Linked DNA regions of Tamandua tetradactyla. The protein of the gene in region 1 interacts with the protein of each later gene in a pairwise test. Links are inferred from orthologs where the notes say so. Each region holds a gene or a part of one and is shown in the gene's direction. Other genes may lie near its edges. The genes, in order: PRAM1 and SKAP1.

The links.
Region 2: the proteins of PRAM1 (region 1) and SKAP1 interact in binary tests that used the Homo sapiens proteins (3 or more experiments, as listed by UniProt). The two-hybrid records come from large-scale screens. The link is inferred for Tamandua tetradactyla from reciprocal best matches to the Homo sapiens genes PRAM1 and SKAP1.

Annotation. Positions count from the first base shown.
Region 1 is NC_135337.1:84,923,589-84,939,733, reverse strand, and holds the start of PRAM1 (PML-RARA-regulated adapter molecule 1), read left to right. Parts: upstream 1-9,904; 5' UTR 9,905-10,086; coding exon 10,087-10,089; exon of another isoform or gene 10,090-11,716; coding exon 11,717-13,406; exon of another isoform or gene 13,407-13,492; coding exon 13,493-13,559; exon of another isoform or gene 13,560-13,633; coding exon 13,634-13,710; exon of another isoform or gene 13,711-16,145. Other genes in the region: ZNF414 (zinc finger protein 414), read left to right, coding at 1,663-1,665, 2,310-2,619, 2,978-3,085, 3,204-3,309, 3,862-4,205, 4,308-4,358, 4,802-4,975, 5,069-5,148; acidic leucine-rich nuclear phosphoprotein 32 family member B-like, read right to left, coding at 5,696-5,778, 6,545-6,701, 7,997-8,038. UniProt on the Homo sapiens protein: May be involved in myeloid differentiation. May be involved in integrin signaling in neutrophils. Binds to PtdIns(4)P.
Region 2 is NC_135332.1:29,695,897-29,711,751, reverse strand, and holds the start of SKAP1 (src kinase-associated phosphoprotein 1), read left to right. Parts: upstream 1-7,198; 5' UTR 7,199-7,279; coding exon 7,280-7,328; intron 7,329-15,855. UniProt on the Homo sapiens protein: Positively regulates T-cell receptor signaling by enhancing the MAP kinase pathway. Required for optimal conjugation between T-cells and antigen-presenting cells by promoting the clustering of integrin ITGAL on the surface of T-cells.

The DNA of each region.
Region 1 (16,145 bases):
TCAATTTGTTTTAACATTTGTTCCCCCTATTATTTATTTTTAATCCATATTTTTTACTCATCTGTCCATACGTAGATAAAAGGAGCATCAGACACAGGAATAGCAAGTCTTTAACTGAATGAATGGTCACTAAAAAAAAGAAACAATTTTAAATCCACACAGCACAGAAGTGTGAAAAGTTAATATCTCTCACTTGATTAGAGAAGTTTTAAGATTACATGCGTACAATGTGACTGTGTGATTGTGAAATCCTTGTGTCTGATGCTCCTTTTTATCTACCTTATCAACAGATGAGTAAAACATAAGGAATAAAAATAAATAATAGGGGGAACAAATGTTAAATTTAGATTGAAATGCTAGTGATCAATGAAAGGGAGGGGAAAGAGGTATGGTATGTATGAATTTTTTTCTGTTGTCTTTTAATTTCTTTTTCTGAATTGATGCAAATGTTCTAAGAAATGATCATGATGATGAATACGCAACTATGTGATGACATTGTGAATTACTGATTATATATGTAGAACTGAATGATCATATGTTAAGAATGTTTGTGTTTGTTATATTTTTTAAAAAATTAATAAGTGAAAAAAAAGATCACGTGCATAAAATACAGTTCCCATATGCCACCCTATTATACCTTGCATTATTGTGGTATATTTGTTACAATTTATGAAATAACATTTTTATAATTCTACTGATAACTATCACCTATCATATACAACAGGGTTCACTGCTTGTGTTGTCCAGTGCTGCGCTTTCCTTTAATTTGATTTCCAGTAACAAATATACAACCTGAAATTTCTCCCTTTTAACCATATTCACATATATAATTCAGGATTTGTGTGTGTCCCTTTAATAATATTCCCTGCATATGAAAGCACATATGTATATCTTGTTTGACACAGATACGGTGCACATGAAATCTGTGCTAACCCAGAACTCAGCAAACGCTTCTTAAATGGTTGAATAATGTATTATAGAGATCTGAGATATAAGATCGACTTTGCTAACCCACCCCCAACAGCCCATCCTCAGGACAGCCAGTGTGCATGATGAGACGCTATACCTCCCATGCTAAAACTTTATCAGTGACGGGAATGGAAACCACACTCCACTCTGTCCACGGTACACAAGACCCTACGTGACCTGCCCTTTGCCTAGTTTCCTTTTTGACCCCCAAATCCCTCTCTGGTCCGGCAGTGCGCAGGTCTCCTCATTGTTCCTTGTAAAAGATAAGCTTGTCCCTCCCCCGCCAGGACGTTTGCGCCAGCTAACCTTACGAGGGCTACCAGTGACAGGGCATACCCAAGAGATGAAGGTGCCCATTTTGCAGACAAGGAGACTGAGGCCCGGAGAGGCTCCCCACCCGGGATCTCTGCGCACGGTCGGTCTTAAAGGTGCCTTTTGCGACTGCCCCCGGCTTGCAAGCTCGCGCCAGAACCCACGCTGCGATCCAAGAGGGGGTTGGTTCTCAGGCCCCTCCCCCTAGCGGAGTGCCCGATTAGGCCCCGCCCCACCCACCCGGTCCCGCTCCAACTCTCGCGAGAGCTAGTGGGCGGAAGATGGCGCCGACGTAAGGTCGCTCTCGCGCCGCCGAGAATCGCCACCACCGCCGCAGGAGCCACCGGAGCCGCCGGACAAAGAAGCCGAGCCGGGTCGAGGATGGTGAGCGCGGCGCCGGGGAACGTGGGCGTGGTGGAACAGCGTGGACTGGAGGGGAGTGGCTCCGTCTCGCGCGCACCCTGTAGTCGACCCCGCCCCCACATCCGGGCACTCTCCTGCTGCTGGCTGTCACTCGACGAGCACCCTACCCCTACTTCCGGGCCTGCTTCCACGCCCACAAGGCCCGAACTCCGCCCCCAAGCTTAACATCCGGTCACCCCAGCACCACCAAATTCGTCTGCGCATAACTTGAGCGCAAGCTGTGTGACACGTCCCCAGACGCTCCACTTGGCCACTCTGGTCCTGCCAGTATCTTGCTAGTCCCGCCCAGCCAGAGCCCCGCCCTCATCGCTCTTGCCATGCCTACTACCTCTAGGCCACGCCTCTGCTGCGTATGGCGCCCCCAGCAGCACAAGGAGGTGGGCGGGGAATACTTTCCTCATAGGGGTGATTAGCTCTCGCCAGGGGATAAGGACATAAGTGGTGCCCTCTCTTGATGGTAACTTCTTGCGTTGGGGGCTGGCTGGGTAATGTCTCAGGGGCAATGACTGTTTCTGGAAAGTTGAGCCCAGTGGTCTTGGCGGGGCGGTAGGGATTCTCTGAATAGTCCACACAGAGGGCTTCTTTCGCCTTCTTCCTTCTACCAGGAGGAGGAAACCGTGGGGCCCAGTCTGGACATGCCTGCCACTGCTGAGCCTAGCTCCAGTGACACTGAAAAGGAGGTGTTGTCCCCACTTGTGGCTGCAGCCGCCGCCGTCATCTCCTCCATAGGGGAGGAGACAGGCCTTGATCAGACAGCCACACCCCCAGCATGGGGACGTGGAGGACCTGGGGGGACCCAGCAAGGTGCCTCCCCAGTCCCAGACAGAAGCCAGCCTAGCCCTGGAGCCAGCCCTGGCAGCACAGTCTCCGTCACCATTGAGGACCTGCGGCCTCCCAGACGACGCCCACCACCAGGTGTCCTGCGATGGGACCTTCTGGGCTTGGGGGGTAGAGGTCACAGGCCCTGAGACAGTAGGAGTTAGGAATGCAGGATCTCTCCATACTTGGGGCCCATCCAGAGAGATGTGTATCACCATTTATCAAGCACAGCTGTATGCCAGGCTGGGGTACAGACATGGGTCAAGCCAACCCAGCCCCTGCCCACTGACAGCTCAGGTGCCTGCCGGGGAAGGCAGAGGGTAAAGGTCTCAATAGGCAATGAGCAGGGTAATTCCAGTCTCATCTGTGCCTGCTTGGGTCAAGTCCAGTGATGGGGGGGCGGGGGTCAGCATCAGCAGGGAAGAGATGGGTGACCCCCTTGTGCGTCCTGTAGGAAAGCAGGTACCCTGTTCCAGTCCTGGCTGCTGCCTCAGTTTCCCCAGCGTGCGTGATCTGGCACAGCACCTGCGCACCCACTGCCCACCCACACAGTCCCTGGAAGGTAGGGCCGGGGCAGGTATGGGGAGGAGATAGGGTGGGAGATATTAGGGTGGGGGGTAGGCAGAGGCGCAGGAGGGTCTGGGCCATCCCACCCACTGATTTGCCTTGCCTCTGGCCAGGTAAGCTCTTCCGCTGCTCTGCTCTGAGCTGCACGGAGACCTTCCCCAGCATGCAGGAGCTGGTGGCACACGGCAAGCTTCACTACAAGCCCAATCGCTACTTCAAGTGAGACCCTGATCCTCACCCCCGCCACCCCGCCCCACTGTTATGCCCCAGGCGGCTCCGCCCAACCCTGGTGTAACTAGCTACCGAGACTTGGGGGCTGGGGTGGGGTAGGTCCGGCGGTGGGTGAGGCCTCGGGCAAGCTCCGCCCTTACCTGCCTAGAAGAGACTTGCTTCCTGTGATTCGACCTGGTCTTTATTCTGGGAACCTAGTGCAGTGGCCGGGTGGGCGGAGCCCAGAAGTGGGGAGGCCATGCGTGGATGGAACCCCGCCCAATCCCGCTATTACCCCCAAGTGGAAAGTCTTAAATCAAGCTTGAGACGTTCTCATTTTCTCAGGGCTACAACCCAGAGGGTCCGGAAGGGTCACAGCCATAGTAGCGAGGGGCGATTAAGGCAAGACCCCCAAACCCTGCTCGGAGGTGGAGGAACTGCCACCTGGAAATTGGGTCCAGGTTCCCTTCCCACGCTTCCAAGGGAGGCCCCCAGGTGGCATCGGATAAACCCCCCCTTGTCGCCCAGGAAACTGAGCCCCACCCTGTGCCCTGTCTCCAGGTGTGAAAACTGCCTCCTGCGCTTCCGCACACATCGCTCGCTCTTCAAGCATCTGCATGTTTGCGCCGAGCATGCGCAGAGCCCAGCCCCGCCACCACCCCCTGCTCTGGACAAGGAGCCGCCAGCGCCCGAGCGCCCCCCGGAGTCCGACCCCTTGTCGGCGCCGAGCCTGCAGTTCCCGCTGCTCGAGCCCTTCACGACCCCCGCCCCTGCCCCTACGGGGCCTTTCCTGCCCTACTTGAACCCCACACCTTTCGGCCTAAGCCCCCCACGCCTGCGCCCCTTCCTGGCCGCCGCGCCTGGGCCGCCAGCCTCCAGTGCCGCTGTCTGGAAAAAGAGCCAAGGTGAGTGCGGGGACGGGCCGCCTGGAGGCGCGGGGGCAGGAGCGCGCCCACCTACTCCTCCCAACTCTAACCTCTGACTTTGATCCGTCCTTTTCACTTCAGGTGCTGGGGGCAGCCCCAGAAGACCCCAGGGCGGTTCCGAGGTGCCCTCAGGTGCGTGCAGGTGACCAGCAGGGAGGGATGGAGGGGCTCTGACGTGCCTGGCTGGGCCTTGGTGTATGCTGCGAGGTTGGCAGGGCCCGCGCCTTTGCCAGATGACCGGGAATGCCCCCGAAATACAGGATTTAAAAATTCCCGACACCTGCGCTTTCCTCCTCGCCGACTTTTCTGCATAAAACGCGCGCCCGGTTCAGCTCGGAGCCGTTCTTTCCCGCTTCAGTGAAACCGGGGATGGGGGGGGGGGGCGCGCGAATAAGCTAGGCTTGGCACCCCCTAGTCCCAGTAGTAAACAGCCAGAGATTCGGATCCAGCCAGGCCAGCCCCGGCGCCGAGGAGCTGGCAGGGGGAGGTCTGCCTCGCCCAAGTCCACCATCCTCCCGGGTAGATGGGTCCTCCGGGTTGGGGTCCCTGAAATGACGGGTCCCGCCTGCCCACAGGGCACGCGGCCCCAAGCCGCATCGTGTGGGAACACACGCGCGGCCGCTATTCGTGCATGCAGTGCGCCTTCTCCACGGCCTCGCGCCCTGCAATGACGCTACACCTGGAGGACCACCGCCCCACCGCCCTTGTGGCTCCAGCGCCTGGGCCGCCGCGCCCTGAAGCCCCGGCGGGTAAGGTCCTGGACCCCGCGGGTGGGGAGGACATGAGGGCTGCAGCGCCAAGCGCCGCTGAGACCCAGGCACCCCCTCTTCTGCCCCATCCAGACCCAGCCTCGCTCGCACCCATGGTATCGCCACCGCCGCTGCTGTCCGAGGGAGAGTGTCCAGTTTTCTCGCCACTCTGAACAGGGCCGCATGGATGGGGGTAGGGGGGGACAGTGAAAGGAGAGACGTCATGGTTTGTGGGCAATTTTGTAATTTGAGGGGGGCTGAGGAGATGAGGGAGGGGGGCACAATAAAGGAGCTGATGAGCAGGGCTGTGCCATGTTTGGGTCCCTTGCCTTTGCAGTCTTCACCCACACAGTGGGCCACGGTGTAGCAGTCCTGGGGAGCTCATGGCTTGGGAGAGAGCTCCTCGAGGCCATTCTGTGGGTACAGCTGCATCCTCACAGCCCACCTGTGTTGCACCTCAGCACTGGAGCCCAGGTCTCCAAGTCCCATGCCACCCGCTTCATCTGGGCCACTGTCTTGCCCTATGATTTCCAGAAACCAGATAGGATGGAATTTCCAGTTTTTTTTTTTTTTTTAATTCCACGACTCAGGAGGATATGGTAGGCGGCTGGTGCTGAGAAAGTGCTGGGGTTGGCCCAGGCTGCAGCTCCCCATATCCTAAGGCCAGTGCAGACTCCTAAGGAAGGGAGAATCCTTTGCTGGGGTCAGGCTGGATGGGGTTCAGGCCTGGTCTTCCTGCTGCTCACATCCTCCACGCCCTTGTCCCCTGCTGCCTTCTTCTGTGTTCCCCCACTGGCCCAGCTCTGAGGAGGGAGAAGGGAAGGGGTCAGGCCAGTCCTGGGGAGCCTTGGCTCCCTCCTTCCCCCTCCCCAATCTGTCCTCTTTCCAGTCATGAAAGCCAAGCCAAGATGACATGAAATCTGGTGCCACACTGCTGCCCTAGCCCTGCTTCAGCAGAACCCAGCTGGCCATGGCTCCTGAGCATGGAAGTCCTGTGTACCTGCTGGATGGTGGTTTTACCTCTGCCTCTATCTTGTTCCCATCCATCCCCTTCTCACCAGCCCCCATGGCCCCCCAGCCTGGGCCTGAACTCCCCCTCTTCAGGTACCCACAGCTACCCCTCATGCCCTTCTCCAGCCTGAGAGCCCCTGGAAACACAGGGGTCTCTTCTGTAAAGGATAAATCCAGTTGCACCCCTCCCCTGTCTTGTACCATCCATTGGCTCCCCGTGGCCCTCCAAATGAAGACACGGATCTAGTAGACCACAAGGCCCCTGGTTGAGTCTCCTCACCCACCCACTCCCAGGACCACACTAACCATCTCCTTCTATGTCCTCTTCATCTCATCCTCCTAAGGAGCAGAGACACCCCTGAGCAAGGACCTGAGCACCTCCCCAGCCTCTCCCCACCTCATCCAATCCCTTTCCTTTCCCCTGACCTCATTTTCTGAGGCCTCCTGAGTTGTCTATTCTTGTCTTCAGCTTCTGTGTCTATAGCTAACAAGACACCTGTCATCCCTGGGCTGGATCCGCAGCCCCACCCTTCCAAACTCTTCTTGTCTGCCCCTTACCGTACTGCCTGTCCTCTGCTAATGTGTCAGCCTCAGCCTCAGAGTTGGGCACCTCACAGTCCCCAGCATCGAAGCCAACCAGGTAGACGAGCAGGGGCAGCAGCTGCAGCATTACCTCGCGGTTGAACAGGTCCAGGCTCCACAGGCCCCTCCATTTCTGTGAGGAGCAGGACAGGGGATCCAGGTGCCCTTAGGACATGGCCTACCTGGTCATGGGGGCTGCCTGCCATCCCGCTCCACTCTGAAGGCCTCACCCAGGCCTTCAGGGCTGTGATAGCTGCCTCTGAGATTCAGGTGTGTCAGGCCAGGTGTCCATTCTGCCCACACCACCAGGTCCCTTCTAAAGCAGTTGTCACTCAACCCCAGCTTTGGGGCTGAATGGGCCATAAGACCTTCTGATTCTGAGCTCCTGCCTTCTCAGCCAGAGGCTTTGGAGCCATGACTGTGCTACCTTGAGGAAGATCAACCCTCCCTAGTCCTGAAAACTTGGTCCTTGTAAGGGTTAAAAAAGGGGGGTGGTGTCTGGGAGAGACGGAGAGGGGTTGGGATATGTCTGCTGAGTTAGTTAGCCACATCCCTCACTCACCCAACCAACCCATCCTGCCTGGGATCCTCCCAAGAACTGGGAGAGGAAGGGAAACAGGCTCAAGGGCCCATTTGACCAATGGGGTGAGGCCAGAAGGGGAAATTAACTAAGTAAGCCCTGACCAGCCAGGTCCACTTCCATGTCAGGCAAAACTCACCCACTGGGCACCACCCCAGAAGCTGGGCACATGTAGCCCTGCTGACTCTCAGGCAGAAAGGCCTGTGGGGCTCCTTCCCCTCTCCCGGACTCCCACGGGCCTGGGATTTTTGTTCCCCCGGTTCTAGCCCCAGGTTCTTCGTCATCTCCAGGGGATGGGCTCTGTGTTTCTTGTGCACCAGGCCTCCAACCCTGATCCCTGCATCAGGCCCCTCTTTCAGGCACCCAAAAATCCGGGTAATGCTACTTCCCAAATAACCTGTCTGTGCCTTTCCAGGGAGACCCAGAGTCAACACCTTGGTCCAGGACCCTCCCCTGCACCTGTGTACACAGAGCTGCCCTTCCCTCGGGACTATGAGTTCCCAGCTCCCCACTGCCCTTGGAGCCAGCTGGAACTCTGCCTTGGGAGCTGGGTCATGACCTGGACTCCAGCAACCACCCCATCCACTCCAAAAACTACATCCAACCTTCACCCCATCCTCACTCACTCCTGCCTTTGTATGCTTCTATGGGAAGCCTTCCTTTCCTGACCCCAGCACTCCCTTCTGGGCTCCTGCAGCCCTTGCCCTTCCTCTGGCCAAGCCATGACCCTATGGAGAGACACATCCCACCACCAACTCCAGGATGTCCCAAAGGCTGAGTCCAGGAAGGGGCGCCCTGGAGAACATGAATGAGAGGCGAGTGCAGTCCCGATCCCTGCATACACCAACCTGCTCCATGCATGGGAAGGCTGGCCAGAGAAGCAGGTTCATGTTGATTCGTGTGCCTCACTGAGCAGGTGTCCAGGACCAGCTCCGTCACCTGTGGGTGGTGGCTCGGTTACCTTCACCCCGGGCTGGAAGGGAGAAGGTGGAAGCTACTGGGCACACATCCCCAGACCCCGCTCCTGAACTTGGTCCGACCTCCACCCACCCCCACTAGCCTCAAGCCCAGCAGGTGCTGGGGCTCCTGCGCGGGGATCTGTCATGCCGGCTTCAGCTCTTATGCACAGTGGACCTTCTCACACCGAGGGCTCAGATCCCAGGCACCCCAATACCCAGACCCCTCCCCAGCCCGCAGAGTTCCGAACCCATGCCCCACACAACCTCCACTTCCCAAGGCAGAGCTCAGCCTGCGCTCACTTTTCTGGACTTCCGGGAACACAGCTCCAAATGGAGCCGCTTGTTCTTGCGGGAACTGCTGTCCACACAAAGAGGAGGTGAGGGGGAGCCTGCGCAGCCACCCCCACCTGCTGGGGCCCCTGCAGGCAACACAGGGACTTGCCCCAGGGAGTCCTGTCTGGAAGCAGGGAGTGGGCCTTGAGGGACGCCATCCCTATGAGTTTGGAGCTGGAAATGCCCAGGAGTGGCTGGGCTGGGAGCCTGGGAAGTCGCCAGCTATCATTCTGTCCCCCAGCTTACCTTCACTGAGCACCTAATGTATGCTCTCAACTACTAATTGCTTGTTCTTTCATTCATTCCCTCTCTCACCAAACACTATATGCTGTCCTCTTATGATCAGCCTGTGCTAGCTGGTGCGACAGATCCCAAGAGGGCCCAGACTTCGTCTTCCCTGCCTTCATGGGTCACCCCATGCAGTGCAGAGGCTCCAGAATCCCGAAGCTGTGCTTTTAAAGCAGATTTCCAAGCAAAAAGGCACATTTGTTTTCCCTTCTGCAGAGCAAGCAGTTGAAGGGCTCCTGCTCAGAATGCAAGTTCCTCAAGACAACCAACCCACCTTCCCTGCCTCCATGTTTAAATAAGCTCAAGAAAGCCCTTGCTGGGAGGCACCCCACCCCCACCCCAGCACTCTTGGGCCCGGGAGTCAGAGTTGTGCTGGGCTGTTTGGATGCAGTGTTCACAATCACATGCTGAAATGCCCTTAGCATCCACGACTCCTCAACTGCTGCCCAAGCCGAAAAGAAAAGGCTTTGTAAAGAGGCTTGTGCTTGGAATACCGTATCTCTGATTAAAAAGGCAACGACTTCAAAATACAAGGAGACAAAAAAGAAAGCCAGCCTCCATTCTCTAATAGTACTGGTCTTAATCACTGCCATCACTTCTTTGCTGACCTCCCACTCTGTCTCAGTTTTCCTCCCAATCTTCTTGTCTTTTGGAGTGATGGGGTGTCCTCAGAAACCCCTCCCCAGGGTCAGGAATTTGACACCACCCACCCACCACCGAGTCTGCCAGCCCTCTGTCCCGCGTGCCAGCCCTGCCCCGCTGCGGCTGGCTCATCTGCTGAGGGGCCTCACAGGCAGTTCCTATAACAGGGAAGTCCAGCTCAGATCTGGGAATTGGCCCACGGGGAAGTGTTGAAATGAGGCAGGCAGATGAAGCAAGAAGGGCAAACAGATGGGGCCTCCCCATCAGACCCCCCCCCCCCCCTTGGATCTCCCAGCCTCCCCAGCGGCCTCCCAAGCCCCAGCTCTGACCAGGTCCTTTCGGAGGTCCCCCTTGGGGGGCAGGAAGCCATCACGTCTGGCATCCAGTTCTCCCTGCCATCCCCAAATCCAGGACAAGCAGGGTATGGGGAGGGGGATAGCAGACAGTCAAGAAACTTGCGACTCAGTTGAGGCCCGAAGCTCAGGGTCAGTAGCAAGTGGGACGGGAGCTCAAGGGGGTTAGAAGCAACCAGCAGTATCTGGCAACTGGCTAGGGCAGTCCCCACCCCCTTTCCTTCCTCCTCTGCCCGCCCCACTCCACCGGCAGCCCCCACCCTGTGTGCTGGCCGGTGAAGCAGAAGCCACAGTTAACTTCCTGAAGACAGCAGACTCAGCTTGGGTCCCACTCACCCCATCGCCCATCACCTACTTGCAGCCATGGTGAGTGAGTCCCCAAGTTCCCAATCCCTAGGAGATCTCTGCACCTGCCAGAGGTAAGGGGTGGAGCACATGGAAATTGGATTGTCCAAGACAGGACAGGCAAAAGAGAACTGGGAACGAAGTTCAGCAAACAGGGATGCCTCATGAAAAGGCCCAGAGGCACGGAGCAGTGGAGACACCCGCCCCGCCCCCTCCCCCAGGACAGCTCGGGTTCCAAAGGGCCTATGGTCCAGATGGGACAGTCTGAAGCCACTCCCCTGCCCCCAGGCCAACATGAACTGATAGCAGGCAGATAAGCTTCCTCTGTGGAGTCAAAGTGGGTCAGGCTCCCACCACCCCCACCTGCCCTTCCCCAGGGTCATGACCCACTGACCGTGACTTATCTGACTGTATGGTCACCTCAGAGTCCTTGCCTTGACCCACCCAGTAGGGAAGTAGCCTTAAAAGGCAGTCTTTCCAAGGGGTGACCCTAATCCATCCTCTGGATGGGGAAAAATGCACAGAGGAGCAAAGGCCTGGTGGGTCCTTCCGGCACATTTCTGTCCTCTTCCCCCTAACTCGCTGACCCCAGGCGAAGCCACGTGTGGGAGAACTTGTAGGTCAGAGAGGACCTGGCCTACTTGTGCATCTGCCTGTCTCTTGGCATCCATGATCAAGCTCACGGGGCTGGTTGCGAGGGTGCCTGGGACATACATACTCAGTGTACCACAGTTGATGCCTATGTGTCAGTCTGTCTACCAGTATGTGTGCGCATGTGCATGTGCGTGTAAAAGAAACAGTGTGTGGAGTGCTGAGAAGAGGGAATTGATTTAAAGTAGGGTAACTGAGGATGGCACATCTAATAAGGACATTTGGAGCAGAGAGATGAAGGAGGAAGAGGAGAGAAGCACAAGGTGGGGAAGTTATGTCCCAGGAGAGAGGAAGGTCAAGTGCAGAGACCCTGAGATGGGATGGGGAAGTGCTCAAATGTTCAAAGACCAACAAGGAGGCAGGAGGGGGAACTGAGATTGGGGTTGGGAGAGACCTTTATGAAATCTGGGCTTTTACTGCGGGGAGATGAGGACCCCTTGCAGGATTCTGAGCAGAGGCACGAACCAACTAGGGGCTTCCTCTGGCTGCTGTGGGGGGGACTGAGCAGGGATGGTGAGAGGGAGGGTGGGAGCCAGGGGCTAGGAGACCGGGAAGGATGCTGTTAGGATGATCCTGGGATGATGGCAGTGGCCGAGGTGAGAAGCGGTTGGATTCCAAATAAAGTTAGAAGGGGTTGGGGATTTAGGGTGCAGAAGAATGAGGCAGTCAGGGGAGCTCAGAGGTTATCCGACAAAAGGAAGGACTGAGGGAGCAGCAGTGTTGGGAGGCATATGGGTAGCTCAGCACCGATGGAGAGGTTGGGATGTATTGGACACCAGAGTGGGGAGGGTAGGGGAAACTGGGGGGATGTAGTTTACAGGAGCCTGGAGATGAAACTGTGGGAAACCTCAGCCAAAAGCGATGAGGCCAAGGTCAGGGAAGAGGAGCAAGTCTAAGGGTGGATGTGTGTGTGCACACGCATGTATATTCCCACATCTGCCTCTCAGTGACCCTCGATGTACAGGAGTCCCAGCCTGACTAGCTCCCTGTCCTGCAGGAGAGCCATCAGGGCTTCCGGAGCCTCCAAGCAAAGTTCCAGGCCTCTCAGCCCGAGTCCAGTGAACCCCCCAGGAAATCTCTAAAGCCCGAGTTCAACAAACTCCCAAAGAAGTTTCCACAGCCTGAGTCAAGCGAGCACCCCAGGAAACTCTCACCACCTGAGTTTGGTGCAGTCCCCAAGAAACCCTTGCAGCCCGAGTTTGGTGCCTTCCCCAGGAAGCCCCTGCAATCTGAGTTCACTGATCTTCCCAGGAAGCCCTCCAAACCCGACTCCCGTGAACTCTCCAAGAAGTTCCCACAGTTTGAGGCCAGTCCATTTCCCAAGAAACCCCCACAGCCCGAGTTTAGTGAGGTTCCTCAGAAGCCCCCAGAGCCCAGCACGTTTCCCCAGAAGCCCCCACAGCCGGAGTCCAGCACATTTCCCCATAAGCCCCCACAGCCGGAGCCCAGCACATTTCCCCATAAGCCCCCACAGCCGGAGCCCAGCACATTTCTCCAGAAGCCCCCACAGCCGGAGCCCAGCATACTTCCCCAGAAGCCCCCACAGCCGGAGCCCAGCACACTTCCCCAGAAGCCCCCACAGCCGGAGCCCAGCACATTTCCCCAGAAGCCCCCACAGCCGGAGCCCAGCACATTTCCCCAGAAGCCCCCACAGCCGGAGCCCAGCACATTTCCCCAGAAGCCCCCACAGCCGGAGCCCAGCACATTTCCCCAGAAGCCCCCACAGCCGGAGCCCAGCACATTTCCCCAGAAGCCCCCACAGCTGGAGCTCAACGACTCCACCAGACCACCCACAGAACCTAAGTTCAGTCCATTCCCCAGGAAGTTCCGGCTGCCTGAGGCCAGCGAAGCCACTCCAAAGCCCTCACTGCCTGACTTTAGTACTTTTCCCAAGAAGCCCCCACAGCCTGAGATCAATGAGCCTCCCAGAAAGCCCCCTAAGAAGTCCCTGACACAGCCCAACTCCTGTGAGGTCCCCTCAATGCCCTCGAAGCCCGAGTCCACTGAGCTCCACCCCCCATCCTCAAAACCCGGGTTCAGTGCATTTCCCAAAAAGGTCCTACAGCCTCACCAGAGTGACTTCCCCAAGAGGCTCCTGCAGCCCGAGTTCGGTGACCTTACCAGGACATCCTCAGAGCCTGAGTTCAGTGTATTTCCCAAGAGGTCCCAACAGCTTGAGTTCAAACCACTCCTTCACAAGAAGCCCCCACAGCCCGAGCCAAGTACCCTCCCCAGGACATCCTCAGAGCCCATGTTTAACATACTTCCTGGGAAGTTCCCACAGCCCGAGGGCCGAGGGCCACCCCGCAAGTTCTCACAGCCTGAGGCCAATGCACTGGCCAAGAAACGTCTGCAGGCTGAGTTCTTTGGTGATGTCCCCAGAAAGCCCCTACTCCCTGGTTCAGTTTCTGAGAGCTCCCTGCCCGCTGCTATCAAGGGCTCCGGTCCCAGGTTCCCGCTCAGCCCTGGTCCTGGAGTCCCTGGGATGTCCCACTCATTTGGGCGACGGAGTTTAGGGGCCCTTGCTCACAGTGGAGGGTCCAGGTTGGGCCTCAAATCCAGCTACCCACCCCGGCGGAGGCCTCTGCCCCCTGCCAGCAGTCTGGGACCCCCTCCAGCCAAGCCCCCGCTGCCCCCAGGCCTTGCAGATGTCAAGAGCTTTCGGAGACCCTTGGTGGCAGCTGCAGGTGAGTCAGGGTAGCACAGACCAAAGAGGGAGGTGGGGCTCCCTGGCGGTGCCTGCCTCCCTCTCTCCTGCTCTTCTCTCCAACAGCTCTCCAGAGGACTCGCTCTTCTGCTGGGACCATATTCCAGGCCCGACAATCAGAAGACATCCCGCAGTGAGTGTGGGAGAGAAAGGCGGACAGGCCCAGGCAGCGGGGCTGGAAGAGGCCTCATCTCTGTCTCCTTTCAGGGATCCAGATGAGATCTATGAGCTCTATGATGACGTGGAGCCCACAGATGATACAAGACCCAGTCCCAAGAGCACAGGTTTGTTGGGTACAGGGCCTGGGGCACCTCCTTGTGGCCCACAGCCAGACCCAGCCTGCCCCAGGCACCTGTGAAACATTCTCCCTGGCTCCTGGTGTAATGCCAAGCAACCATTCATCTCCCTGACAGCATCTGGGGAGAAAGCAGCAGGGGAGGGAGCCTATTAGAAAGGCCATGCCAGTTCCTGGTGGGAGGAACGGGTTTGGAAGGGGAGCCCAGAACCAACAGTCAGTGGGAAGGCTCTTGTTAGACTATGGTTTGGCACAGAGTGATTTGGCAGAATTCAGGGAGAACTGTGGAAGAATCCTGAGGTAAAAAGCCACTAGCAAGACTTGGAGTGGATTTAGGCAGGAGGGAGCTATCCTCCTTATCCATGTGGATAAGCCCCAAGTTTTGAACCTAACACTTGTGGATACAGGGGGGAACCAACTCTGAGCTGGGAACACAAGAGAAAAGAGCAGTGTGCAGGAGAAAAATGCCCGGTTCCATGTGTAGAACAGTTATGTTCAGGGGCCTGAGGAATGTCTCCCACTCTTCCAGTCTGTGGCCCCAAGTTCCAGGTCACCAAGTTGCTCTCTCCCTCTGCCCAGCCCCCTATGAAGACCTGCTTTCCTGAGCCATAGTCTCTGCTGGGTCTCCCAAGGGCCCTCCTCTTCCTTGTCCTGAGTCTCTGTCCTGGTGGGGACCACTTTACATGCCTGTTGCCATATTGGCACCACCACCTAGACACATCTTACAGATCATCTCCATTTTACAGAGGCGGGAGCTTGAGGAACTGAGAAGTGTCTTGAGCAAGCTCACATGGCCAGGAAACAGCACAGCTGAAACTCAAGCTGCTCCTAGATTCACTCTTGCCCCCATTCCCCCTCCTGCCCTTTGTCCTTCATATGAGTTTTCCCTCAGCCTTTGGAATACTACCACTCTCCCCACACTGACCCCAAAGGTCCTGATACAGAAAAGGAACTCAGCTGCCTCCTTAGTTCTAAGGCTCCTTCCTGGGCCCCTTGTGCTTCTCTGGGGCCTTTCCCCAGGAGCTTTGCAACACCTTCCAGTTAGCACATAGCCTAAGATGGGCCTCCAGGCAGGGCTCCCTTTCTCCTTCCGCTTTGGAGGAGGCTCTGTGGCTTAGTCTGGGGACCGATCTTGGAGATGTAGGACTATGGAGAAGGGAACAGTTCCAAAAGTCCCAGCCTTCTCCTGGACACTCTAGTTCCTGCAACCCTGGAGGCTCAGTAGGCCCACCCCCTACTGAGATTAGGAACAGCTCATCCCCACCTCTCCTCCACCTCTCCAGAACAGGCAGAGCAGGCCACCAGAAGGCAGAATGTAAATGGCCTACTTGGGATCACACTGCCACAACAGGGCCATAACTGCACCACAGTGCCAAGGGACACTTTCTTTCCTGCAGCTGATTTGAAGCACCAGGGGCCCAGGAAGCAGTCTTAGAATTAAAAGAGGCAGCCAGGTTCTTTCTCTGTACCAGACCTCTGGAGTGCAGGAGTTGGTCTGCTCCTGGTTGTGTGACTCCCATGGCTGGGGCAGCCTCTGAAAGTGGTGGGAGCAGTGGGAGGAACAGCATTCTGGGTGAGGCCAAGTATCCTGCTTAAGGCCTCGAGGGGCAGAAGAGCGTAGCATAGACACCAAGCATATTACAGCCCATGCGGGCACTGAACAAAATCTTCCAGGACAAAGACTGAGTCCAGAAGTTGGAATGTGATCCTGGATTGAGGCAAATAAGTTAGATTTCTGTCCTCCGTGTTTTTTCTCCGACTTGGGCCAAAGGACTGGATATCAATCTTGGTTTTCAAGACCCACTACTGGCAGGCTTATTTGTGACCTTGAATGCTGTGGAGAGGTGGGGAGCAGGTGCTGCAGCGGCTCCATTGGGTTGACTTAGCCAATGCAAGGGTGAATTGCAGTGAAAAGTCTCAAAGGTGGGAATAGCAGAAACTGGTTCTTGGATGACTTCAGGGTCTCTATAGTGTTCCAAGTCCAGGCTTTGCTAACAGACATTCAGAATGTCTAGCACCATGGTTTGGGACGATAAGAGCAAATTGACCAGTGAAGTTTCTAGGTGGCAGGTGGGTAGAAGAGGTCCAATATTCCCAAGCCTCGCAACTTCAAAGGGCAGCAACTCCCATCTTGCCTGAAGGGAGTTAGGTCTGTGCCCCCAACAGGGTACACTCACCATCCCTTTGAGGATACAACTAGGGATTAGGTCCCGAAGAAACAAGATGCTGTTTTGAGAGCCTAAGTCTTAGAAACGAAAGTGAACAGGCCTTGCACCCTCATGACTGGTAAGCCAGGGCCCTCAGAAACACACTATTCTTCAGTGGGCCACTGGTTCCTTGTCAGAGGGAACTACTGGCCTTAAGTGATGAGAGTGATGCTTTGAGTTGCTCACAGAGGAAACTAAAGCTGACGCCGTAAGTTCC
Region 2 (15,855 bases), on another chromosome or scaffold:
TCAAAGGTCTTGGGTGACTAAGTATATTGTCAGTGAGCGGTATTATTTTCAAAGGAATCTGTTTCAACAATGGGCTTTAAATATTCAGTAAATCATGTTGTAAACAAATGTGCCATCATCCAGGATTTGTAGTTCCATTTGTAGCGCACAGGCAATATAGATTTAGCAAAATTCTTAAGGGCCCTAGGATTTTCAGAATGGTAAATGAGCATTTGCTTAAAGTCACCAGCTGCATTAGCCCATAACAAGAGCTTCAGCCTGTCCTTTGGTACTCTGAAGCCAGGCATTGTTTTTTCCTCTTTAGCTACGAAAGTCCCACATCCTCTTCCAATAGAAGGCTGATTTGTCTACATTGAAAATCTGTTGTTTAGTATAGCCATCTTCATCAATTATCTTAGCTAGGTCTTCTGGATAACTTGCCACAGCTTCTACATCAGTACCTGCCGCTTCTCCTTGTGCTTTTGTTATGGAGATTCTTTCTTTCCTTAAACCTCATGAACCAATCTCTGTGTGGTAGTTTGAAGTTACAAAGTATCCCAGAAAAGTCCATGTTCTTTTCATCCATTCCTATGGGTGCAGATCTATGGTAGGAGGGAACTTTTGATTAAGTTATTTCTATTGAGATGGGACTTACCTCATGTAAGGTGGGTCTGAATCCTCTGACTGGAGTCCTTTATAAGAGGACAAAACACATACAGAAACTGAGAGATGGAATTCAAAGAAGTACCCAGAGAAGCTGAAAGAGGGAGCAGCCAGAAGCTGAAAGCAATGAAACCCAGAGAAGGATCAGTAGACGCCGACCATGCACCTTCCCATGTGACAGAGGTGTCCCAGATGCCAGCAGCCTATCATCCTACTGATGACTTAAGTTGGACATTTTCATGGCCTAAGAACTGTTAATCGTAAGTTAATAAATCCCATTGTAAAAGCCAACACACTGGGTGGGCCACGGTGGCTCAGCAGGTAGGAATGCTTCCTTGCGATGCCAGAGGACCTGGGTTCGATTCCCGGTGCCTGCCCATGTACAAAAAAAAAAAAAAGCCAACACATTTCTGGTATATTGCATTTTGGCAGCTTTAGCAAACCAAACACTTTGCTAGTTTCCGACTTTTCTTCTGCTGCTTCCTCACCTCTTTCAGCCTTCATAGCACTGAAGATTGTTAAGGCCTTTCTCTAGATTAGACTTTGGCTCCAGGGAATGTTGTGACTGGTTTGATTGTCTATCCAGACCACTGAAACTTTCCCCCTATCAGCAATAAGGATCTTTCATTTTCTTAGTATTTGCATGTTCCCTGGAGTAGCATTTTTAATTTCCTTCAAGAACTTTTCCTTTGCATTCACAACTTGGTTAACTACTGTTTGGAGCAAGAGGCCTATCTTGGCTTTTGACATGCCTTCCTCACTAAACTTAATCATTTCTTGCTTTTGATTTAAAGTGAAAGAGCAGTAACTCTTCTTTTCATTTGAACACTTAGAGGCCATTGCAGGGTTATTAAGTGGACAAATATCAATACTGTTGTGTCTCAGGAATAGAGATAGGTAACAGAGGGTAGAGAAGTTAAAACACTCACAATATTTATCAATGATGTTCATAATCTCATATGAGTGTGGTTCGTGGCACTCCCAAACAATTAAAATTGTAACAAAGATCACTGATCACTATAATAGATATAATAATAATAATGAAAATGTTTGAAATATTCTGAGAATTACTAAAATGTGACACAGAGACATGAGGTGAGCACATGCTCTTGGAAAAATGATGCTGATGGACTTGCTAGATGCAGGGTTGCCATAAACCTTCAATTTGTAAAAAAAAAAAAAAGACAATATCCTCGAAGTGCAATAAAGCAAAGTGCAATAAAATGAGGTATGCCTGTACTGTCTTGTATGTGAAAGAAAGCATGGTTTACACGGTTACAAAATGTTGCTGAAAGGAGAGGCCAAGGATGTTTAGGAATAGATATTTTAGAAAGAAAAAAACAAAATGGACATTAACACAATTCAGAAGGCAAGGAAAGAATGTATTTTGGTGACCTAAACGTCATTACATAGGACGTCCACAGACTACCAGGCCTCATTTTTTAATCCATGTTCTCACAGTGAAGTAATCAACCATTGCTCGTTTGATCTCTGATTCCAGCTAGTGTTTCTGTTTGGATTTGTGAATGCTGGTGATTCTTGTCAGAGTATTTTTCATTTTCCCTTAGTGTGAGCATTCCTTCAAAGCATGTGTGCAGTGCAAGCCAGAGCTTCCTACCAAATTGTAAATAATCTCCCCACCTACCCCCCACCTTGAATTCTAAGGTCTTTGATAAAGTGAGGGACAAAAAAGGATAGAAAGAAAGGAGGTGGTCAAGGAAGCTTAAACTTTACCTTCTTTATTTTTTATACAATATGTTCTCGTTATCTTCTGTTCAAAATTTAATTATGGCAACATATATACAACATTAAATTTCCCATTTTAACCACTTTCAAGTATACAATTCAGTGGAATTTTTTACCTTTTTGGAAAGAAACCAAATAAACCCAGTTTAACCTAAGAGAAATAATTTAAAAAATTGCTGTCCCTCTATTATTTTGTTTTAATACCTTTAATCTACACCCTTGCCCCCCAAAAGAAACTCCATTACAGTTTCCAAAAGTTAACATGTTTGCAAATATCTACCATAAAATTGGCCCTAGCACCACCTGTCTCCCCATGCAGTTTAACCATATAGCGGACCTCCAGGTTCGCTCAGAGAGCACGCTGTGTCATTTGGCTGCAGTTGACACATTCCAAGTTCCCATTGCTTCCCCTCCCCCCATTCCCAAGAGAACCAATCAAAGACAGAGAATGTCACCGTCAGCAACCTCTGTGGTCCTTAGGGCCATTGTGGGGTTCATCGGTGCCCATGGGGAATGTTTAATGTGGTCTAAGGGATAGGCAAAAATGATACTAAAAAAAAAGTGATTGGGGAATATAGAGGAAAAATAATAAGGGGAGTAATAGAAAGATATGATAAAGTACAAACAAAGAAATGTTATTTAGGAGGAAGAGGATCAACAATGATTGTTTCACACAACTGCTCGGCCATCCCCAGGCTGTAATTATCCAGCCCAGGAACTGCTAAGTTCATCAAGAGCTTTGGACAAACACAAGAGACTCAGGACTCTAAGGCCAGTACATTCCCTGTGAGCTGTGTGGTCCTGGACAGGGTGTGGGCTTGTTCTTCGTCTTAAATTTGATTACCTTGAAGATTCTTTTGAGTTTTCATAGCCCTCGTTCTGTCCGGAGGCTCTGCCTTATCGATAGCTTGCTTATGGGAATGTTCCCTGTTCTGATATGAGACCCTGCTTATTTTGTTGCCTGTATTAGCACAGAGAATCTAGAAGTGTGAGTGGAAAGGGGTGACCACCGCAGTGCATCTGTGTGTGTGTGTTTAATAGGACTTTCCTGTGTTTAATGGTTACCTGATTGGTAAGAGTAAGGTCTCTGGATGCTGTAGAAATACCACATTTTAAGGGCACTGAAGTGATGGACCCAAGGTAGCATCTTGTGCTCATCTCCTGGGCCTCAGAAGTGGCAGGAGCCTCGGTTTCTGGAGCCCTGCAAAGCATGTGGTGAGCCTGATCTTGGCATCTACAGGACAGGATGCATCATCTCTCCTTCCACAGCCCTTAATGAAGTGTGCAGCTCTTGTCCTCATTAGGTCTCAGCATTGTCAATAAAAGAGTCAATAAACTCGGTTGATGGGGTTGGGACTGAGAGGCTGAGATGCAGCGGCTGCACATCCACAGGGCAGACGTCAGCTCCGCTGCGTGTCATGACCCAGCATCCAGGGATCAATAACCAGCTCAGAATAAAGCCTGAGAGTCTGCCCTCCACAGTCTCCTCTTCAGATCCATTTTACCCAGGGCAGAAGAGTGCCAGCCGGCTCCTGCTTTGCTTGCAGTTGTTCTTATACTATGCCATTCTGGGTGCCAGATGCTTTTGTTTCTTCCTGATTGATCCCTCTGGATGCCCCACGGATGCATATTTAGTGAGTGCCCACCTGGCATGAGAATATGCAGCCGGCATTCTCCAGCAGCTTAGAGAGCAGCATAGACTGTGTTTTCTCTGTCTTCTGTCTGCTGACAGTGTGAGGCCCTTGTTGACAAGGCGGTATATTGTCTGCATGTCCTGCTGCCGGACTTCATTCCTGGCTGCTCTGCATCTCTTTAGATATCCTTATCTTATCTAATTACAAGGAATTTTAGATTAATTTCATGGCCTTTGCTCTAAAGGACCTCTTATCAGTGAGGGTCTTGTATTTTAACCTTGCCATTCTTTTGTTGTTTGCTTTTAAGGGGCAGGCAGCTAGGAAGGGTCTGGTAAGAACGTGCTGGAATTGGGGCTAAAGCAAGGGAAAAAAGAACGAGGCAGACAGACCTGGGATTTGTGTATTCTGCTCCATCCTCCTGCCAGTATGCAGAGACAGCTGGCTGCTTACTTCCATGACAGCCACATGGTACCCAGCCACACAGAACAGGACCTGGACAGGGACGCGTCTGCTGCCAACCTCTCCAGATCCCTTTGATATTTCTGACAAAGCAGTAAAGGACTCTTGACTATCACGTTTTGCCTTGCTTCCCCTTACCTCCTCTAAGACTCTTCGGTGTGGTTTCCATGGCTACTCCAAATCAGATCTGGCTTCCTGCAAAATTGGATTTCAAAGAAGGACAAGGCTTCAAAGGAATTTGTCCATTTAACAGAATGTCATTAGGAATGAGGCTGACCGCTGAACCAGGTTCTCAGATGATTAAGGAGGGGCTGCGCTCATGTGCGGAGGCAGGTTTCTGTCTGCAATGAGGAACCTTGATGCAACATGACAATACCGTATTGGAATCTGCCAGTCACCCACCACACATTACCCAACCTGCACCTCCCTCCACCTCCATCTCCTAAAACCCAGAAATTCCTGCGGGGAAGAATGGATGTAAAATACCTATGTTGCAAATTCTGCTGTTTCACTTGCTTTAGTAAGCTATGACAGGCAGTGAGTGAAACCTGTGAGGATGTACAATTACCTGGGTGTATTGCTCCTTACCAAATAACTTATCAGCTTGTAGCCTATATTAGCACATGACACAATATCCTTGCAGAATGGGGTTTGTCAAAGTTTCTTCCATCCCTGAGAGGGAAACAAGGCAAAGTGCTGGGCTTACATATGGGAGGAACTTTGTTTCCCTTGCTGTTTTTTTTTTAGAAATAAACTTTATAATTTAGAACAGTTGTAGATTTGCAAAAAAAATTATGACAACAATACAGAGCTCTCATTACCTTTCTTTGCCTAAGTACTAAAAAAGTAACTACAATTTTATGGAAGGAGCAGCGGGGCAGCTGAAACTGCCTCAGGAGGTACCTGGTACTGCTCAGAAGCCTGGAGAATGCCAGTCTGTCCATTGCTACACTTTTCTGCGGCAGGAAGGAGCCAGCTTCTGCTCCCAACCTCTCCGTTGTGGTAGCAGTGCAGGCCTATAATCCTGAAACCAAGGTACTCTTTCTCTTCAAATCTCAGGAGGCAGACAGTAAAGATGGCTCAACCCCACTGCACACTTTAAAAGACTAAGCCCCCAACCTTAAGGCTGTATCTCAGCCAGGGGAAAGTAGGCTAGCGGGGCCTGCACTGCTACCATGTGTCCTTAAGGATGGTTTCTCCTTGTTGTTTCCTTCAACACCTCCCTGAGTCAGTCTTTATTCCCCCTGAGGCTATTGTAAAACCACTTCATCCCTCTTCCTGTTGTCCTTTCTCTTACTGTCCCCCATCCTTCCCACACACTGTGTGGGTCGAGTCTGAGAATAGAAACCCCATTTAACAAAGAAGGAAAACCACAGAGGTGCAGAGATGTATGTGAGGTCACATGCTACACAAGGGTTCTATTTAGGTCTCTCCGCAGCTCAAAAATTGTCAATGGCTCCCCAGTGCCCATTCAATTGAGTCCAAAATCCCGATTCTGATATTCAAGGTCCTTCACAATAGAGCTTCAAATTATCTTAACAACCCTAGTTTCCCAACACTAGCTACTAGCTGCTGCCTGAAAGGAAGGCTTTCTCATCTTCGTTTTTTCTGGCCCTTCCACCTGGACAGCCCTCCTGACCCTTCAAAATTCCGTATGTTGTTCAGAGCCCACCTCAAATGTCACATGTACCTGCATTTTCTCCTTTTCTTACATCTGTCTTCTTTTATCTCCCATGGCACCTTGCATCTTTCTCAAGGTGCTTGGCCTACTGTACTTTTTTTTTTTTTTAAAGTAAACTCTTTGTTTTCAGATAATTGTAGATTCACATACAGTTTTAAGAAATAATGCACAGCGAGGAAGACCCTGTGCTCCTTCACCTGGTTTCCCCCAGTAGTAACATCTTTCAATACCACGGTGTGATATCGCAACCAGGATATTGATGCCTATTGTACTTTGAGAGAACACTGTTCTCTGTAATCTTGTCACTCTCCTCCCCGTATTAGATCTTGGAGGAGAAGGGCCCTCTACCCTTCTCCCTCAGCTTCCCCCAGGCCACCCCTTCCATTCCCTGCATCTTTCAGCCTTAAGGAGGAAGGGACACTCGGATGACTCCCTGTTCCGCTCCAACTTCTATTCTCCCAAATGCTGGTGGCTTTGTAGTATTTATTGGGATTTAAGGTCATTTTCCTTAAGCATGGGAGCTTTGCCTGAGAGAGGGAAAGTTTTGTCCTAGTTTCCCGGGCATGGACGTTGTGGACGGGATCGGGGGTTGAACGGTGCTACGCTTGACTCGGACTAAACTCTCCTTCAGATTCTTCCTCCTCCTCACCCTATTTTGGGCCCCACGGTTGCTTTTAATCCTCTCACCTTGAGACCAACCGTCCGGTGCTTAGGATGGAGAGTCTCAGAGACAGGGTTCCTTTGACCAAAGCCTTTGTTTCGGCGGGGGCCTGGAGCGGTCACCCTTTGGCTTTGCCTGGCGCGGGGCTCCCAGCTCTGCCCACCGCCCCATTTCCCTCCACCTGCGGGCCTCAGGGCACCGCCCACCGCCCCATTTCCCTCCACCTGCGGGCCTCAGGGCACCGCCCACCCCCGGGCTGCGCCCGCGGCTCCCCAGGCTCCGCCCCGGGCCGGCGCCCCGCCCTGCGGCTGGGCGAGCGGAGGCAGCCGCCGAGCGGCGGCGCCAGGGGTGCAGGTGCTGCCCCGCGCTCCCCCCGCCGCCCGCCCGCGCCTCAGCGCACGGCCTTCGCGCGCCCGCTCCCGCCTCACCCTCGGGCCTCCTTACCGCCCCCGCGCAATGCAGGCCGCCGCCACCCTCCCCGAGGACATCCGTTGGCTCCTGGAAGGTAACGCCCTGGCTCAGCCCCGGCCTCTCCCTCGACCCCCCGCGAAGCCCACAGGCGCTGACCTGAAGGGAGGAGAGGAGGCATCGGGGCTTCCAAGGCCACGCTCTCTGGGCCGCGCCATCACTCACCTCTTTCTAGAACATTCAAGGCTTTTAGAGTTCTCAACTCCCCAGGACCGGGCTCTCATCCTCTCACCTCAGAGTCTCTCTCTCTCTGGTTCTCTCTAGTCTCACTCTCTCTCACACACACGCACCACTGAACCTCCCAGGATTCAGGCCAGATTCTTAGTCCCCCATGCCACCTTGCCTCGTCTTCCACTTGTCTCTTCTCCCTCAAGTCTCCGCCCTGCACCTGTAGGCTTTCGCCCCCCTCACCCTTCCTCCCAGTACTTCTTCACCTCTCCCAGAGGACCCTCATCTTCTTGGTTAGAGGCCCCGAGCCTCCCCAGAGGGACTGTGAGGAGTTTATGGGGATCCTCTGCTGGCCAAGGCTTCGTGGTTAGTGCGAGGTTTGGGCAGCGCTGAAACCACAGGCTCCATCTCCAGCCTGCAGCCCTCTAAGGGTCTCATTATCAAACCAGGGCCAACTAATATTCCCTATTCACTATTGCATTTCTTCCTTTTCTAGTGTCCAACCATCATTTAAAAATTAAGGCCATGCTAACACTCAGCACATACTTCTTTCCAGCACCCAGAAGAGACTCTTCGCTGTATACAATATGGTATCTCAGTTGACACTTTTCATGGTGAAAGTAATTTTTACTTGCTTTCCTGTAATTGACCTTCTAGGAAGAACAGAGGCCTGGAATCTGCCCTTGCATAGGAATCCCAGGAGGAAACTATTCAAAATTAAGCCTTTTGGCATCTAAGAGACATATTTGACACATATTTAACAGATGGCCTGCTTTGGGAGGTCATACTTTTGGCAAGCAGCTATTTTTCAGTTTCCCTCAATTTAATTGGTTTTATATCTCCATTACCTTGTTATCTTGGTATAAATGCCTCCTAATCAAATATTTGGCAAGTCTGGATTTGTAGCACTCTTTCCATCCTGTATTGCTTCTATGTAAAAACTGTCAACTAGGGTCTTTTTTGTGGGTGTGTGTGGAAATTTTGGATTTCCAAAATCCATTTTAATTATGATTTGAATGAATCTAAACTTTAGGAGTAGAAAACTAGTTGCAGGGTAAAAGAAGTGTCAGTCCAGCCTTTTCCCTCTTGCTGTTGGGTTGCCTGTTGGCTCAATATTAGACTGTAACATGAGGCTCTAAGTGTCTTTTGGTTTTCAGGAGAGAAGAAACTGTGGTAAAAAAGTTTAATTCTGTCTTTGCATTTAAAGATATAACGTGATTCTTTCTATTGGCATCTTGCATTTGAGAGGAAACCTGTTTTACAAGCTTGTTAAGCTATACTTCATTTTTGTGTGTATACTTGGTAGAAAGTTTCTTTTTATTTCAGAGCCTTGCAATGAAATTCACTCTTTTAACATTTTTGCTGTGTAGTCCTTTATTGTTCAAAACTGACACTTTGGTAAACAACTCATTCCTACACCTGCCACCTTCCTTTAACTTGGATTATTTTCTTGTTAGCTGACTTTTTAATTGAAGTCTTCAGATCTCCTTCTAAAGTAGAACCTTTGTTTGCTGACAAGTAGAGCAGGGTATGAATGGAGATTAATTGCATGTCACATACTTCTATATCAAACTTGCTGCATCTTAACAATCTCGGTTGGTGCGCAGGTCTTTGGAATTTATGAGGAGTCTGAGGTTAAATTTTAAGGAGCTTAATTGGTTAATGTATTTTTTTTTAAGTTTGCAATTAAGAGCCTGAATCTGAAGTAGAGAAAAAAATGTAAAGTGGGATTCAATCAGTAATTCTATTTCAGTGTTTGAAGAATATGCTTTTGAAAGGCTCGTGTAAAAATAGCAATTTATTGGTTATAGGTTTTATTTTTATGGAACACAATCTCTGGTTTCTGTCAGCAGAATAATTCACTGTATTATGAATAATTTGTGGATACTAGAAACTCAAAATGGCTATCAGTTTATTGCCTGTTGCTGTTTACTGTCTCTCCCTCCCTTTTTAAGGTTAACTGTTGACAATTAGAAAATATGTAGGTCCTGATCTCTAGTCACTCAGTTGGAGGGAGTAACAGGATGTAAGAGCTGCAATTTTAGAGCTGCCGCATGGCCTTGGGGGGTGGAGTTTCCATGATGACTTACTACTTTCACAAACCAAGGCATAAGTGTTAGCACACTGATTTAATGCTGACCATCAAAGCCATAACACAGGCATTTATTTATTTATAACTACATGGGCATAAATGACAGGAGCATGCTTTTCACATAACATGTGCTTTTAAAAATAAAATATGCAAAACATTGTGAAAGGTTAATGCTGAAATTTTGCATAATAAAGAAGAGAAAACAAATTCTGAAGGTTTAAAACTAATTTAGCTTAAGGATAAAATGTTAAACAATTAAAAATGCTTCATTTGACTCAGAAATTCCACTTCTAGGAAACTGCATTACTGAAATTAAAGTACATGAAGTATGTGCACAAGGATCTCTCTTGAATATCCTTGAGTTGGGAAAGGATGAGGCGATGGTTGAATAAATCATGGAACATCCAGAATATGGAAAACTTTGCAGCCATGAAGAATGTGTGATGTATCTCTATATATTAACTTGGGAAATGGCCAGGGCATGTTTCTTTTTTCTTTTCATGGCATGTTAAGACTAAAAAGCATGGTGCATAATAGTACGTTTAATATCCTATTTTTGTTTGAAACAAAACAAAACTAAAACTCCTATATATTATATGTTTCTGTAAGTCTCAGAAGAAGTAGGAACAATATACTCCAAAATGTTAATTTTAGCTTCGTTGGGAGGTAAGTGAAAGGGTGGATAAGGCAGAGATTATTAATTTTTATTTCATATATCTTCACATTGTTTGAATTGTGACAATAATTATGATTTTTTGTAACCAGCCAAAAACAACTAGTAAGGTTATTATTATTATTATTTTTAAAGCAAACCAACAAAAAGGCAGATAGAAGCTAAGAGTGTACAGAATGCTAAAGGCCCTCTGACCATACTTGGGATTACGTTTTTCTCTTGTTAACCCTGGAGATGGGTAGACGGTAGGGAATTAAAAAACAAGAAAAAATACTTCATTGGAATTTTGGCAAATACAAAAGCCGGAGAGGCTTCTAGAACAGCTCAGGAAACAGCTTCCTCAGATAGACTCTGTCATTCTCTCATATAGAAATAGTAACTAGCTCCATATCAGCAAATAAGTACCTTATAGATAAGTAAATTGAAGCAGCCTTTTCCTAATTGAAAGAGAAGGAAGTATTCAGGTCTTTGCCAAGTAAGTGTTCTCCTTCAGATGTAGAAGTTATCTTTTTGTTTTTTTGTTTTGTGATAATTGGGCTGAAAACAAAAGCGTGAAGTGCTGCCAGTTTGCATCATCTTTGTTCCTCAGATAGAAATATAATCAGTTTCTTCCTTGTCTTTTTAGCCTCATTTTTTGAAGTCAGAAACAGAAGAGGCAAATAATGAAGGAGGTGGAATAAACTTTTTCCCGGGTCACAGTTTTTCCAGTGTGATGGAATGGGGCTGGTTGACTTTACCCCATTAGCTAATAGACTTCAACCACCTACGTGGTAACTAAATCCTCTTGGGATATGGATTTAAGCCAAAATAGCATCTATAACCTGGCTGCATTTAGTAGTAGTCACTGAGTTAATGCTGATTCTGATATGCCTGTGGTTACTTATTTTTAAACTTCTATGGAAAGAAGCAACCATGAATCATTTCCTTCCAGTTGTTATCCAGATTTGTATTGGTTGATGCAGCCAACCATGAAATCCTTTTCAATATAGTAAAGCAACAACTATATGGAATTTGTAGGCCTGAGTTTCTCTGGTTGGTTGAGGATTTTCTCTTCAAGCACTCTGACTTTTAAATTTAAACATTTGTGATCTCTTTTTTCTCTGAAATGCATCAAGAACTTTCATAACTTCAGTGGACCAGTCTGTATTCAAATGGACCTCCTTTCAATGTATTTTTTTTAAAAACTCAGAGTTGCTTTTATCATGTTCTATGGAGATATATTGAATTGTTTAGGGATGTTTTTGTCATAATTTCCCGTGGACTGCTTTTTGAGTTTTTTTTTTTGTTTTAACTTTTTAATTTTTAAGTTTATCATTTTTCCTGCTGTTTGGCTGAAACCTATCACTCTGCACTGCTGTCAGTGTGTCTACATCCCTAATGTCACTGGACATCAGAAAGCAAGCTTGTTGGAATTAAGATCAGCATGAAAGAAGAGTATGAAATACTTTCTTAATAAACAGAGTACCCAGGCTTGGTGCATGGGTTTTGTGATATGTATTTTGCCTGCTCAGAGTTTATTTTGCTTTATTTCTTAAACCGGGTTGGCTCTCACATAGATTAGGTTATTGGTCATTTGAATTCTGAAAGGTGAGCCAGGACCAAATTATAATTTTTTATAATTATAAAAGCAATAATGCTCAATGTAGAAAGTTTAGAAAACAATAATATACAATCACCCATTGTCAACTACTGTTAAATGCCTTGTCTTTCTTTCACTCTTTATTATATGTACATACTTTAAAAGTTGGGACATATTGTGCATAATAATTTTGTATATTGATTTTCCACTTAATATTTTCTACCTGCTGTTGTCTCTGGAGCATTTTCTTAGAAATTAATTTTTTTCTTTGAATGATTTAAAAGTTAGACATCCTGTTTTTATTCCACTGGTGGTTTACCTCTTAGGATTTCCGAAGTATTGAACCATTTTCCTCTGGTTAGCAACATTAAGAATGAAATGGTACAGGACTTAGAAACAGTGTAAGATAATGGGTAATTGGAGCTGAAGGGATACAGGCTGTGCAACAGGACTAGATACAAAAACTCAAAAATGGACAGCACGATAATACCTAATTGTAAAGTAATCATGTTAAAACACTGAATGAAGCTGCATCTGAGCTATAGGTTTTTTTTTTTTTTTTTACTATTATTATTACTTTTATTTTTTTCTCTATATTAACATTCTATATCTTTTTCTGTTGTGTTGCTAGTTCTTCTAAACCGATGCAAATGTACTAAGAAACAATGATCATGCATCTATGTGATGATGTTAAGAATTACTGATTGCATATGTAGAATGGTATGATTTCTAAATGTTGGGTTAATTTCTTTTTTTCCGTTAATTAATTAAAAAAAAAAGAATGAAATGGTGCTTTTTGGCTCCTTCCTCCAGTGTATAATGTGAAACTGTTGATATAATTTGAGATATTTGGATCCAGAGAGTCACTTATGTTTTTAGTCTGTGTATTAGATTTTAAGAATGATTTTTGATTTTATTATATTTTTAAACCATAGCAATACTAATATTTTTTTCTGTTTAATCTGCTCATCGCTTACTTTTTTCTGACCATGGCTTTTTCATTCTTATAAATAATATCTCTTAGATATCTAGGCTGCGCTGTTCAATTCACTACCCATCAGCTACTTGTGGCTTCTTAAATTAATGATAAATAAATTTGAAAATTTATAGAGTTTATATGAAGAATAAAGGAATGAATATTTGAAAAGAACTTAGAACAATATTTGGCATGAATCAAACACCTTATGTATTTTTGGCAAATACAATTAAAAATGATTTAAAAAAAATTTTGAGATAGTCCTATTGGCCTCTGTTTCTTAACTGTTCTCCATAGGAAAACTCTCTGCCATGGCCTTTTTCATATTAGTGGTCTATCCTTGTTTCTCGAAATTAGTTGAGGCTTGTAGGGGGTTCTTTCAGAGTCTCTTCCATTTTCTTCCTTTCTCAGATCAGAGTCCAGTGATCATTTCCAAGAGAAACTGTATGGTGGATGGAGGGAGGAAGTTACCTTTACTGCTTTTTTCATCACATAGCCTGTAGTTCTTTGAATTTTCTATACTTTTGTAGATTCTTCCAACATATAATTTTTATAATCTGATGTTTCAGTTGAAATTTTGTTTTGTAACAAAGGGATTCTCTGGAGAGTCAGGTTACTTGAAACTTTTCCAAGTCTGTTTGGGTATGACTGAGCATGTTTCAGGAAAGTATGTGTTCTTACCTTGTTATGGAGTGCTTTTGTGTATGTAGGTGTGAAAAAAAAAGTATTTTTATGTTATTCTTAATCAAAAGAAAACTGGAGATTTACTCTCTCCCTTCTCCCATTTTGTTTGCTAAAATGAAAAGAAAAGTATAAAAATATTTGAGCTCCATTGTGGGTATAAACTAGATGACAGGAGGGTTTCCCACACCTCTTGAACTTTAAGATCTATTCCTTGTGGAAGTCCACAGTGGTCCTCAAGATCCAGCTACTTCTCAAGGAGTGTACATTCTCAAGGTCACCTTTCCTTCCAGGATTCCCTGCTTCTACATATGCTCCTTGTCCTTGGTTATGTAGGCTTAGACCAGTGGTTCTCAACGAGGGTGATTTTGTGCCCCAGGGGACTTTTGGCACTGTCTGGAGATTTTTTTGGTTGTTACAACTGGATGGAGGCCAGGAATGCTGGTCATTGATGCACAGGACAGCCCCACCACAACAAAGGATTATTCAGCCCAAAATGTCAATAGTGCTGAGGTTGAGGAACCCTGGTCTAGACCTACCATCTTCATTAGCTTCCACCAAACTCTAGCCACATGAAGTCCTTGTGAATGTAGAAGATGGGAGATTCAGGGGGTGCAGGGAGAGGAGGAGGAGTTTGCATTGTAGTAATGTACACAATTTCAATACGAGTGTTAGGCATCTCTGTTCCTAAAATGCCTCTCTGCTACCCTAGTCATCAACAAGTGCCCTTTGGCCCTTCATTTGATGAAGTTCTTAGCCACATGCCTTTCCATTGCACTCTTTCTCTTCTTTGGAGCAAAACAAAAAAATTGTTTTTCTCTTTGCTACCTGAAAAAGGCAGTTTAACTATCTGTTTAGTTCAGTTCCCACTAACACTCACACACAGCCAATTATTTTGCCAAACAACTCAGTTTTCTCTGTTATACAAATTGTAGTGCCAGCAATTAATAACATTTTCACCTCATTACATAAGTATAGGACTTAGATAATTTAAAAATCATTTTAAATATAGAAGAAATAAGGAGGCAAGTTTCAAGTTTTACTGTTTTCTGAGCATCTTAACATATTGACATAATTATCATAATCTAATTTTTTCACATGATATAAGCCGTTACAACCTACAAATCGTATAATTTCTGCTACATTTATTCATATTTATTTCCCCTGTGTTTCCAAGTCCATTGCTTGCTTTTCCAGTTTGTCAGTGCTGCATTATAGATTAGGTGATTATAACAGATGGCTTTTCAGGTTTGGAGTCTGAGTTCCACTGTTTAATTTTACTACCTGGCTTTTACATGGAGGATAGGACAGACCTGGGCTCAGGAACAATGTAGTCTTAGATCCAGAAGCAAATTTTCCTGGAGAATGTTGGCTTTGAAAAAAATGATTTATTAATTACTTAAATTCTCATCTAGGGTCAATTCCTAACACTGCTGACATCCTAATGTTAGAAAGTATGGAGGGATGAAGTTTTTATTCACATACTAGGAGTCTACCTAAAATATATCCACAGACACAAATTTATACTGTTCTAGTTTGCTAGCTGCTGGAATGCAATATGCAGGAAACAGAATGGCTTTTAAAAAGGGGAATTTAATAAGTTGCTAGTTTACAGTTCTAAGGCCAAGAAAATGTCCCAGTTAAAGCAAGTCTATAGAAATGTCCAATCAGAGGCATCCAGGGAAAGATACCTTGGTTCAAGAAGGCCGATGAAGTTCAAAGAGTCTCTCTCTCAAGTGAGAAGGCATGGTTTCTCTCTCAGCTGGAAGGGTACACGGCGAGGATGGTCTCATCTGCTAGCTTCCTCTCCTGGCTTCCTGTTTCACGAAGCTCCCCAGGAGGTCTTTTCCTTCTTCATCTCCAAAGCGCTGGCTAGTGGACTCTCTGCCTTGTTGCAGCACTGTCTGCTCTCTCTGAATCTCCTTCATTCTCCAAAATGTTTCCTCTTTTATAGGACTCCAGAAACTTATCAAGACCCACCCAAAAGGGTGGAGACATGTCATCACCTAATTCAGCTTAACAACCACTCTTGATTAAATCACATCTCCAGGGAGATGATCTGATTATAGCATCAAACATACAGTATTGAATAGGGGTTATTCTGCCTTTACGAAATGGAATTTTGATTAAAACATGGCTTTTCTAGGGTCCATACATCCTTTCAAATTAGCACATTTCACCCTCTGGACCCTACAAAGACATGTTTTCCCCATATTCAAAATATATTAATTTTATAACAATATCAGAAATCCTTAAACCATTTCAGTAGCAATATAAATGAAATACAAAGGTAGAAACAGTACAAACTGCTATCAAAGTTAGTTACAGGCATGGTCTGTTCTAAGGAAAGGTTCTCCTCTGGCTCTGGACCTATAAAAACTCAAACCAAGTTATT